Drosophila melanogaster: one gene and its partner. The protein of the gene in region 1 purifies or fractionates together with the protein of each later gene. This does not show direct contact. Each region holds a gene or a part of one and is shown in the gene's direction. Other genes may lie near its edges.

Region 1 (6,998 bases):
TCCCGGAAGCCCCGTGTCAAGGAATCGATGACTTCGCCCAGGAAAACTAGAATTGGCAATTGGTAAACATGATTAGAATGACTTTCAACTGCACTTGTGGACAACACTCACTGTTTGTGTCATCGGGCAGTGGCGTTACCGCTCGCGAGGCATCCTCGTCGTCCTCGCTAAAATCGCTGCAGTAACTGATCTCGTCCAGCGGCGCCAGCAAGTCTCCCATTTTGGGTATACTGAGCGGCTGCTGTGGCAACAAGTCCTCGCACTCCGAGTCCTCGGGATCACCCGTCGTCAAATCGCTGACAATATAGGCATGCGGACCGATGGACTTCAGCTCCACTACCACCTCATCATCGCTACGCCGTCTGCTGGGCGTTCTGGTGATAAGGGTCTTCGCCAGCGTTTTCTTGGCAGGCAGCACGCTTTTAGCACCGAGCACACAGCCCGCGCTCACGTCGCAATCCTCGTTGATGATGGCTCCTTCGCCCACCACGCAGTGCTCCAGTCTGCAGTTGTCCATTACGGTGACGTCGGCCATGAGGAACGCATTGGTCAGTCGACAGTTCTTGCCGATCCGGCAATTGGCGCCAATCACGCTGTCACTAATCACTGAGCCACTGTCTACGTGACTGCCCGCTTCGATGACCACGTTCTGGAGCAAAGCCACTTTCGAGACATGCGCCTCGGGGCTCTTGTAGATGTTGTCCTTGTGGAAGACGTACTCCTGCTGCAGCTTGTAAAGGCCTATGTCCGGAACGAAGGGGTAGGCCCACCGGTTGATAATGTCCCGACTAACCAGCTGGTAGGCCGGCCAGTTGTTCACCTTGTGCGCGTACTGGGCTGCCGGGAGCAGTGCCACATATATCCTGCTGTCCAGCAGTTCCTCGTTTATCAACAAACCCCTGACGAAGTCATCACGCGTCTGAAAGTCAAAGTTGTCGTTGAACAGGGACAGCATTGAGGGCGAGCCAATGGCAATCTGCGGATCTAGGAGGTTGTGGTGCAGCGCCACACACGAGTTGCCCAGAAAGACATCTAGTGGTAGTTGGTAGCGATTCTCCTTGTGGTGCATCCGCAGCCGCTGGTGGTAGTGCAGCCGGTCGTTGCGACGGTCCACGGCGATCAGCACCTCGTTGCCAGTGCGCACATTGTTGGCACACTCCTTGAACACCAGCGTGGCGGCCGTGCCCTTGTCGAACTTGGCCTGCCGCTTGTGCTGCTCCAGCACTGGGCGCAGATCGGCATTGGTCACCGTATCGGCGCCGAGCAGAATGAAGTGGCCACGGATCAGCGCCTTATTGTCCAAATCACGCATGGCATCGCCGAAGCAGCGACAACCCTCGCCGCCAATCACATGGACGGTCATCTTGAATGACCAGGCTGCGTCCGTGGCAATGCCGGCCCTGCAAAAAACGCGAATCGAGCGTTTAGCACCCATAATTGCATCATCCTGCCAGCTGCCGCAACTGAACCCACCTGATGTGCTCCCGGATGCTCGAGCGATAGAGGCTGGTGTACACGAACACCTCCTCCACGCCGCTGCGGTTCAGCGCCATGAGAGCGTAGTCAAGCATCCGCACGTTGACCAGCGGCAGCAGGGCCTGCAAAGAATCCAACGGTCGACAGTCAATGGATATTCACCTATTCCAGTGGCGCTCACTCACCGTAGAGCCCTCGTCGGAGAGGGGCTTGAAGTTCCACACATTGTTGTCGGCGATCAGCACCGCCTGAACGATCTCCTTCTCGAATTGGGCCATCTTCTCGCGTTGCAACCCAGTAGTTTCCCCAAAAATTCAACTCGTTTGCTGGCCACTGGAGCGATTGCGGCACGCGGTATGCGGTATGTAATGGCACTTGCAGGCTGGTCACACGCTTAGTCGGGTCGCCAACCAATTCTGATTGGACTCGCTCGAACGCCGCATTTCGTAGCATTGCCACACTGGTCACACCGCGAAAACGGCTACAAGAGTCGCCCGGAAAATAATTGGAAATAAATAATGATCGCAGCGCGGTAATTAGCACGCGTGCCACTCTGTCTGTGCTGTGTGTACTAACACCCACCTCTCCCGCGCCCCATCAGCCGGCCGAGCCTAGTAAGATCGCGCTGGATTGCCAATAATTGTCATCGCATTGCCGATGAATAAGTGCCCCTGGGCGCGAGTGTGTGCGTGTGCGTGTGTGTGCGATACACCCACCTTGATGGAGGCAACAACAACAACAACACAGCAAGCGAGAAAACAAACAAACGGCTGCGATAAGCACTGAACACGATTCCACAACTCAACTGCTCTTCCGCCACGGTCGCGCTGCCCAAGAGCAGGGTCACCCCCCGGCCAGTTGCAGTGACGCCCTCGCCACCAGAAACCAAGCAGCCAGCTCCCAGTCCAGCGAAGACCCGAAGAATTCCCATTCGCAGGCGACCCCGCAGCAGACGAAGACAAGTCACTGGGCGTTCGCGCCAACTATAAATAGAAAAGAGCAACGACGCAAACAAGCAAACTGTCCATACAGCCCATATCCATATCTACACGCACATTTATCGACGCAGAAGAAAAACCCCTCAAGTACTGCCCTTCATTCAGCGATTAGCGCAGCCATCTCTTCGCAAACAGGCGGCGGAGGAGAATCCGACTTGGCGGGGAAAGCGAAGCGCACTCGAAAACCCTATCAGTACTCAGAATCCGGAGACAAATGGACACGTTGAGCGAGGCAGTGGCCAATGGAACCGCGACTGCGGCCACCAGGACGACCAAGGACATTGTCAAGGAGCGCTTCAAGGAGGACGAGACCATAGAATACGTAAGCAATCATCAGATCTGGCGAATCAAAGCAGGCGAAGGTTTAGAAAGGAGTGTTGGTCAATCATGATTGACTTTTAAAGTATAATGACGAATATTAGCAGGAAACATGCTAAATACACTAAAATGATGATTAATTATCGCTAACAAGTAACCTTACGCCTAAATCACACTCACGTCTTCGCTCAGAAAAAAACCTAAAACGGCTGCTATTAAACAATCCTTTGCTTATAGATATTCGAGGCGTATCAGATCAAAGGACCAGAGTACTCCAACCGTCTTCTGGCCCTGGTTTCATCGCAGTCGGGCGGCACGTTTGCCATCATCGCGTTCTCCTACTTGCGCACTCCATTGTCCTCCGCGAACGAGCTGATCATCAACAAGGTGTTCGCAATCGACCACAATTTCCAGTTGCGACAGGGTGAGATGAAGGGTGCATGTTCATCACACAGCTTGACTATGCTAGCCAAACAAATTGCCCAGTAACTGTTTGTCAAGTAGTCACAAAACCAATAAGTTTGCGCTCATTATTGGCCATAACAGATTACGACTGCATTTACTTATGATAATATTGGTATCTCAAATAGTTTCAGCTGAGATGAAAGCAAACTAATTAGTGAAAGCTCGCTCTTTTTCATATATCATTTTCCAAATTTTTTGCAGACAGCAAGAGCTCGATCACCACGCAACAGTTTGACCTGTCCACAGCCGAGGATGGCCCCATCAAGTACTACTACTACGCCACGGAGAGCCACCACTACGAGGAGTTTGTGGCCAAGGTGATTTCCTTCAAGAGCACCATGGCGCAGCATGATCCCGAGACGGTGCTTAACTTCAGGTGGCTGAATGACTACCGGCAAATCGGAGAAGTGAAGCAGGAGCTGAAGAAGCGGGAGAGCGAGTACATTGTCTACAAGGACATAATGTGAGATGGAAAATGCCCTGTCAAGCAAGAGTTCTCACGCACATTTATTCAATCCTTGCAGCATCTACTGCGCCACTTGGAATGTGAACAACAAGACCTGCAGCGACAGCAACAATCCACTGCGAGCCTGGCTGGCTTGCAGTGAGAAGCCGCCGGATATCTACGCGATTGGACTGCAGGAGCTAGATACTCCCACAAAGGCTATGTTGAACTCCACCCAGGTGCAGGCCATCGAGAAGCAATGGATGTGAGTGTGCCACATAAGTTATATAGCCTCGTTACCGAGAGTCTAAGTTGGTTCTTTCTCCCGCAGCGATAAGATGATGGACAGCGTCCACCCTGACGTAGAGTACGAAATCCTGATGTCGCACCGCCTGGTGGCCACCATGCTGACGGTCATCGTGCGCAAGCAGCTGCGGCAGCACATCATACGCTGCCGACCAAAGTCGGTGGCCCGCGGCATCTTCAATACGCTAGGCAACAAGGGCGGTGTCGCCATTAGCCTGCAGCTCAACGAGGGCAACATCTGCTTTGTGAACTCCCACCTGGCCGCCCACATGGGCTACGTGGAGGAGCGGAATCAGGACTACAACGCTATCGTGGAGGGCATACGCTTCGATGATGGCCGAACAATCAGTGACCATGAGTAAGTTTGGGGAAGAAGGCATAAGTATAAGTCAGTATTATTTCACTCCATCTCTGTCTTTTTCTAGTCACATCTTCTGGGTCGGCGATTTGAATTACCGCATCCAGGAGCCGCCCGGCCAACAGCGACCAGGACCACTGAGCGATGCCCAGACATACGAGCTGCTACTGCAGTACGACCAGCTACGTCAGGAGATGCGGCGTGGAAAGTGCTTTGAGGGCTACACCGAGGGCGAGATCAAGTTCCGGCCGACGTACAAGTATGATCCGGGCACGGACAACTACGACAGCAGCGAGAAGCAGCGGGCGCCGGCCTACTGCGATCGAGTGCTCTGGAAGGGCACGCGCATCGAGCAGCTGGCCTACAACAGCATCATGGAGATTCGGCAGAGCGATCACAAGCCCGTGTACGCCGTGTTCCAGGTCAAGGTCAAGACTCGCGATGAGGTCAAGTACAAACGGGTGCAGGAGGAGGTGCTGAAGGCAGTGGACAAGCGGGAGAACGACAACCAGCCACAGATCAATGTCGAGAAGACGGTCATCGATTTCGGGACTGTGCGATTTAACGAGCCGAGCACACGGGACTTCAACGTCTATAACAACTGCCCACTACCTGTGGACTTCAGTTTCAAAGAGAAGGATATACACGCCATCTGCGAGCCATGGCTGCACGTCGATCCGCGCCAAGACTCGCTGCTGATCGACTCCGCCCGAAGCATTCGGCTGAAAATGAACGCCAATGTGCGCACCATTGCCGGCTTGCTTCGCAAGATCCGTGCTAGCGACAACTTCGATATTCTCATCCTGCACGTGGAGAACGGGCGTGACATCTTCATCACGGTTACGGGCGACTATCAGCCCAGTTGCTTTGGCCTTTCCATGGAGACGATGTGCCGCACCGACCGTCCATTAAGCGAGTATTCCCAAGATCAGATTAAGCAACTCGTGAGTTCCCTTCATTTTTGTAATTACGAAGTTTTTCTACTGATCACGAACCACGTTTCGTTGCAGATGAATGACGAATCACCGGAATACCGTGTGACGATGCCCCGGGAATTCTTTCTGCTGATCGACTATCTGTACAGGCAGGGCTCCAAGCAGGTGGGCGCCTTCCCGTCCTACGACTCGCGTCTCTCCCTCGGCGCTCAATTTAACTCGGTGCGCGATTGGTTGGACACCTGGTCGGATGATCCGTTCCGTAAGTGGACTCTATTAGATTGCCACCATAATAGTTGTGAATATTCCCTTACAATCTACAGCTGCCAACGCAGAGACGGCTGCGCAGGCGCTGCTGCTTTTGCTGGATCTGCCGGAGCATGCTCTGCTGGAGCCGGTGGTCGAGAATCTGCTGGAGTGCACCAACAAGTCGCAGGCTATGGACTACATTTCGCTGTTAAGTCCCCCCAAGCGCAATGTTTTCATGCACCTTTGTATGTTCCTGCGCGCGGGCATCGAGAGTCAGTTCTATGATCTGCATCAAGTCGGTAGGTAGAGAAGCTCCAGCAGCATTGTACCACCATCGTAACGCCATTCCTCCCACACAGCATCCACCTTTGGCCGCATTCTGTTGCGAAGCACCGAGCGTGCCGCCTGGATGGACTACCACAGCCGATGCATACAGTTCATGCGGCTCTTCATCGACACCGACGTCGAGGCAATGGGCAACGGCAATGAGGGCGCCGGAACTGGAACAGGCTCGGGATCTGGGACCCGGGCGGGTCTGCAGGCATAGTCGCCGCAGCTGTGCCGCCGAATCGGAAGCGAGCGATAGATGTACTACTCTGTTGATAGTTACGCATAGTGTTAAGCTATTTATTTTATTTGTTGGTACTTTGTTGGCACTTAGCATTTATATCTTCTCTGTTTTAACTGTTAATTGTTTGTGCCCGCCCTCCGTTCATTCCAACTCGGTTGTCCCCGCCTGCATCACAAATCCATGGAGACACGCAACCAGCAACGCAAAGATAAATGAATTGTGTAAATAAGTAATTCGTTTAGCACGATTGTTTGTTAGTTTAAATTAATGAAGTGACCCTCTTACATCCCCGTTTCAGTTGCAACTGAAAATAAATAACACCGTTACATACAGTATCAATATTCTGAAAAATCTCTACATTGGCTGTTCACATATTTGGCCACGCCCGCCAAAATTTTCAAAATTAAAAGACGCGCTACGGATTTGTGAGTACGGATGGTATCGATTAAATTCCCAAAGTTATCGACAGTGTAACCAGATCTAAAGTGGCGACTTCAGTTGACGGCAGAGACGACAGCAGAATGCAAAGGCAACGGATTACTCCCAGGATTTAAATAGCATAGATTATCGTTGAAACCGCTGACGACGCGCCCAGATGAGCTCCATGGACTGCGCCACGTTCCCAATGCATCCTAAAATGGACGAGCAACTGGCCCGAACCTTCGTCATCAACGAGGAGGAGGAGGAGAAGCACATTCAGAAGGTGCAGAACGCCTTCCTTTACTATGGGTAATTGTTATTGTTTTTGCGCTGTGTTCTGGAGCACATGCTCCAAACGGACGCTTGCCAACCGATCGTCGTTGAGGGGGGGCGGTGCGGTGACAGCGACATGTGCAGACAAGCTGCCGACAAACTACCGTTTCGTTTGGCGCCAGTG
Region 2 (4,944 bases), on another chromosome or scaffold:
CGCGGCTCAATCCACCACAGCGTTCGGTTGGCCAGTGCTGCACAGCGACTGCCGCTGGAATTCAAATTAACCCTTAGGCGAATTGAGCTTTAAAAGCTTTCGTAAATTGTACCCATTGCGTAACTTGCAAGGGTTAATGCTACACGGGTTCAATGAACCAAATAGTTTAATTGTAATTCGTAAGGATTACTTGTTTATTTTGATTAAAAGCTTACGAAAACTGCTAAATAAATAAGTTACTTCTTTTGATAAGTTAGGTAAAAGTATTTCACCTTGTCCCTAGAACACCTGCTGTTTGATCATCAACTTGTTTCCAAGCACCCACTTTCCCCTTCAATCACATTCTTCGCAACTGTTGAACCAGATAAGGGACATATCAGTTTCCATGTCTGCGATGCTAACTAGGTACACAGTTGTTGAGCCACTAGGCACGTGGGCTTTTGATGATAAGCGAATAAAACAGACGCCAAAAATCGCTAATCAAGTATGTATGTAGAGAAAAAACCCACAAATCGACTTTCTTGGGTTTTATTTATACACAGAATGCTTAAAATTGCTGCAGTTGCACATGCGAACGTCATGCAAATGCAAAAAAAAAAGACGCAGTACAAGTGTGCTGCGAATTAAAATTAAACAATTGAACTTGACACTGGCTGGTCGTAGGCAAATATGTCGTTTAATTGCTCCTCTCGTTCTTCGAAATCTGCGGCGGCTTACAAAGCTTACATTGACTATGTACTTTAGGTTTATATATATATTGATCTGCATGAATGGGGGCCAGCATTAGCGCGAGTTCCTTCCAGTTCAGCCATTCGGGGGCACTTCTTTATCGACATGACTCATTAGCAGTCGATTCGTTCGAAGGGGAGTAATAATTATAAAATATATGCATTGAATGGCTTGAGAATAGAGGAAGGTGTTGCTGTCCCACATGTTGCTGTCCATGTCCATCGTGCCATCGATTAATTAGTTGTACTAAAACGACGACCGCGCGCCATCTAAATAATTCACTAGTGAACAGCCCCCGCGCGACCTTGCACTGTCGCCTTGTCGACACCTACGTAATGTGCATCGCCTTCGCCGCCTTGGCGGCCTGCGCACTGATCTCGTCCATGCTCTTCCGCGCGCTCTCCGTCACCTCGTCGATGGAGCGCCGTGTGTTGTGCAGAAGTTCGTCGGTGCCGCGAGCGATGCCCTTGACCTCCGTGTTGATCAGCCCGATCACCCACTCCAGGCCCTGGCGTCCCTTGCCGGCATTTGTGCTAATGGTCGAGGTGAGCAGGTCCTCCATGTAGTGGGACAGCGGCACACCAAAGACGGTCACGGTGGCCTCCTGCTTGAGCAGCGTCTTGCTGGCATCCGACGGATGCGGCTCATAGTAGAGCACCTCGTCCACGCTGATGTTGCGGCAGAAGGTGAGGTTGTTTGTCTTCAGCACCATCTGTTTGCGCTCCGGGTCCACCGTGGAGCGTTCGCTGGCGAAACAAGTTTTGGCCGTGCCGATCAGCGCGTGCGTCCACTTGGGGAAGTACCACTTGGACTGCACCAGGCGATGCGTGTGCAGGACGCCGTCCACCACACGGCGCTCGACCACGTCCGTGCCAATGATGGAGGGCGTCATCGGATTGGGGTACTTGCGCCACGCCGCCTGCGTGACCGTCTCCCACGGGTGGTTGAATATGTGCTCCGATGTCCAGATTTTCATTATGCAAGCGCCGTTGTCGTCACCGTCCGGGGAGGGCTTTATATCCTTAATTGGCAGCCGAGATGCGGGCTGAGCTGAGCCTGCGGGGGCAGACGGAACGGAATTAAACAGGGGGAGCGTTAGCTGAAGTACACGACTCGAATTTTGACGGCAATCTCGGAATTATTGAATATTTCCGAGACAAGTTACGAGAGCTGACCTTTACTCGTGCTGTGCTGCTAGAGATGACAGTGGCTCCGATAGATGGGGCTATCGCTGGCCAGTGCATGGGCTAGGGTGGTCACACTGGCGCAGTAAGAGAAAATGAAAGTGCCGCAGGCACCCTGTAGCGGTAACTTATTTATTAAATTTATAAACTAAATTAATTCTAAAAGTAATGGCGGCACTTTGACATTGCACGTGCAGCTTCCTATTGCGGCCCGAAGGTACGTACGTATTTCTCGTAGGGCCGTTTATCCAATCGCTGTAGTCGGCTCTCCACGAGCTCCCGAAAGTTGTGTATTACCTCGGCATCCGCCTCGATTAGTTTCCTCTCCTCGTTGATGATCTCGGCCAGCTGCTCGTCACTGTCCGCCGCCGCCCGACGTGACACCGAGCCCTCCAGACGAGTGCTGATCTGGTTGACTATCTTCTCGCTCTCGTAGTCCATTATCTTGGCCAGCGCCTTGGCCGGCGTGCGCCGCGCATAGCGTGACTCGGGTATGGTGGGGGCATCCAGGTACGACTCCTCCTGCACCGCCAGCGTGTGCGGCTCCTGCTGTTGCGCGTCTTGCTTCAGCTCCTCATTTGTGTACTCAATGAATTCCTGCAGGGAGGGCTCATCGGGATGCGTTTCGCTGAGCGTGGAGTTGTTTTGAAAATTGGTCAGGTGGAATGTGCCATTGGTGTCGTAGAACTTGTAGCCCAGCATCTCCAGCGCGATTTCCGTGAGTAAGTACGACATTTCGCAGGATTCAAAATTCGTTTATGTTTGCAATCTACATTGAAAACTAGAAATTCCGCACCCAGCAATCGATAACCGGTGGAGGTGTGGCAGCACTGGCCATCAGCTGTTCGCGCAGCGTCAATTGTTTCTCGCTTTGCATTTTTTTTACCTGTTCATCACAATAATAAGAGACGAAAGGCGGAAATAGGACACCCATATTTGCTTCGAATGCAGCCCGAGACAGTGCAGCCATGAAGATCAACGAGAAGAACCTGTACGTGTTCGCGAGAACGCCGCCCTTCGACATGGAAGGTATGCAAGCGAGCCCTTTCGCTCGTCTATTAATAATCATAATCCATTTATCACACACCGATACGCCTTGCAGGCTTCCTCAACAAACGGGGCGAGGTCAACAAGGCCTTCCAGCGACGCTACTTCGTGCTGAAAGGCAACCTGCTCTTCTACTTCGAGTCGCGCTTGGACAAGGAGCCCTTGGGCCTCATCATTGTCGAGGGCTGCACCATTGAGCTGTCTAACGAGGTGGACAACTACTGCTTCGAGATCGCCTTCAACGGCAATCGCACCTACATCCTCGCCGCCGAAAACCAAGACAGCATGGAGACGTGGATGAAGGCGCTAACATGCGCCGGCTACGAGTATAAGCGCATCATCCTGGCCGAGCTAAAACGCCAGTTGCAAGAGATGGAGGACGCAAGAAACAGTGAGACTGCACAATGGCTAATCCTACAATCCCTGTGCACTAATCCGCTGCGTTCTTTAACCTACAGAGATGCTCGGCAGCGCCTTGGACGGACCACAAAATGCATCGGAGAGTGCGAAGCCTAGACCGCCGCCCAGGCGGACAAATCCATTCAACAGACCCGCTCCTCCTCCACCAGACAGTTCGCTGAGGGGCGGAGTAGTCATGTCGCCCCTGCCATTTATCAACGGATACTTCGGATCGAGCAACGCGCGCCTGCAGCAGGAGAAGCTAATGAGCAAGCAAGGTATGAACACGTACTCTTAAAATGGATGTACAATGCTGTGGGTATAGTAATGCAAAAATTAACTGAACGGAAGTGACCAAATTGAAAGACGAAATGAATCACCATGTTCGGGGCTTTGAGTTTTAAAAGCTAATTTTAAGTGGGAAACTTGGCCAATAGATAACCGCAGAACTACAACTTTGCCTAAATACAATCATACGGCATTTTTCGGCCCCAAAGCCAGCTGTTTGTTTGTCCCAATACAATGTGAGTCTACCGTTAGTAGAAGCTAGAGATAAGAGCAGAGTGCTCTCAGTATAATCCGAACTTCGATTGCCAGCTTATCGTTGCCATTTACCCAGAGCCGATCTAATTTAGTCAGCGGAATGCCACTAAGCGACATTCTCTGCAAAATCTGTTGCATATTCCCAAAGCCAGGCTACAGGCACTTTCTACTTGCAGACGCAAACGGAAACGGAAGCCCCAGCGGAACGCCCAGGGCCCAGCGCCGTCCCACGCCCGCTCCTGCCATCGCGAACAGCGTCTTCTATCCCGATGTCCGGGATCCGGGAGCGGCCAACAATAATCACAGCACCGTCAACGGTGCTGAGCGCCAGCGTCGCCAGGTCAAAGCACTGGAGGAGTTCGCACGCAACCACGAGCGCTTTCGCAGGGAACTGATGCCGGATGTGTCCGCTTACCGCGAGCGCCAGGGTCAGCCGCTCATCCAGTTGTGATGTAGGAGTGGGCTGCTCCGACAAAAAGCCAATGTATTACCCGTTTTGTGCTAAATCAAATACGTTTCAAATGAACTATGCTTAATTTCCATACATGTTTGTTTCAATAAACAAAACTTTAGATATAACAAATTTCGGCGATCATGGCGCACTCAGTTATGTGGGCATACTAATAATTGGGTTTTTTAGGTTATTTGTTAGAATTGAAGGACTAAGTTGGTTTTAAAGTTAAACATAATGTTGGGATTACTCAAATGGATAACTTAAAGAAACCTAATTTTTGGATGACAAAGTTCTACATATGAAAGAACAAAACTTTTTTTGTCCAAATGAATAGACCACATATTAATTGTTATTTAGAACATAATATTTTTTAAAAATTCGATAGACACAAAACCCAGTGTGAACGGCGAAAATAATCGATAACTGCTAAGAAAACAAAAACATCGACGTTGGTTGCTTTGTGGAAACATCGATAATCGCGAGCAGCCATCGATACATGTTCCAGCTCTGTAACCTAGCGTTGTTGTTTGTAATTTAGCTGTGAAAAGTAATTAAGCCGCACACAGAACTGTAAGTTCACCCGCTAGA

What was found.
Region 2: the proteins of Ocrl (region 1) and IPIP purify together in Drosophila melanogaster (affinity purification with western blotting; 2 studies listed by BioGRID, with this or other methods). This does not show direct contact.

What each region holds. Positions count from the first base shown.
Region 1 is NC_004354.4:1,921,070-1,928,067, forward strand, and holds Ocrl (oculocerebrorenal syndrome of lowe), read left to right. Parts: upstream 1-1,911; 5' UTR 1,912-2,688; coding exon 2,689-2,796; intron 2,797-3,029; coding exon 3,030-3,216; intron 3,217-3,458; coding exon 3,459-3,720; intron 3,721-3,781; coding exon 3,782-3,967; intron 3,968-4,033; coding exon 4,034-4,366; intron 4,367-4,433; coding exon 4,434-5,310; intron 5,311-5,376; coding exon 5,377-5,563; intron 5,564-5,624; coding exon 5,625-5,849; intron 5,850-5,909; coding exon 5,910-6,097; 3' UTR 6,098-6,455; downstream 6,456-6,998. Other genes in the region: eIF2Bepsilon (eukaryotic translation initiation factor 2B subunit epsilon), read right to left, coding at 1-46, 112-1,400, 1,474-1,598, 1,662-1,754; CG11596 (uncharacterized protein), read left to right, coding at 6,717-6,850.
Region 2 is NT_033779.5:6,045,996-6,050,939, forward strand, and holds IPIP (inositol phosphatase interacting protein), read left to right. Parts: upstream 1-2,006; 5' UTR 2,007-2,114; coding exon of another isoform or gene 2,115-2,648; exon of another isoform or gene 2,649-2,698; 5' UTR 2,699-2,881; coding exon 2,882-2,942; intron 2,943-3,015; coding exon 3,016-3,351; intron 3,352-3,418; coding exon 3,419-3,637; intron 3,638-4,078; coding exon 4,079-4,353; 3' UTR 4,354-4,443; downstream 4,444-4,944. Other genes in the region: slmo (slowmo), read right to left, coding at 1,058-1,705; CG34179 (uncharacterized protein), read right to left, coding at 1,744-1,785, 2,139-2,648.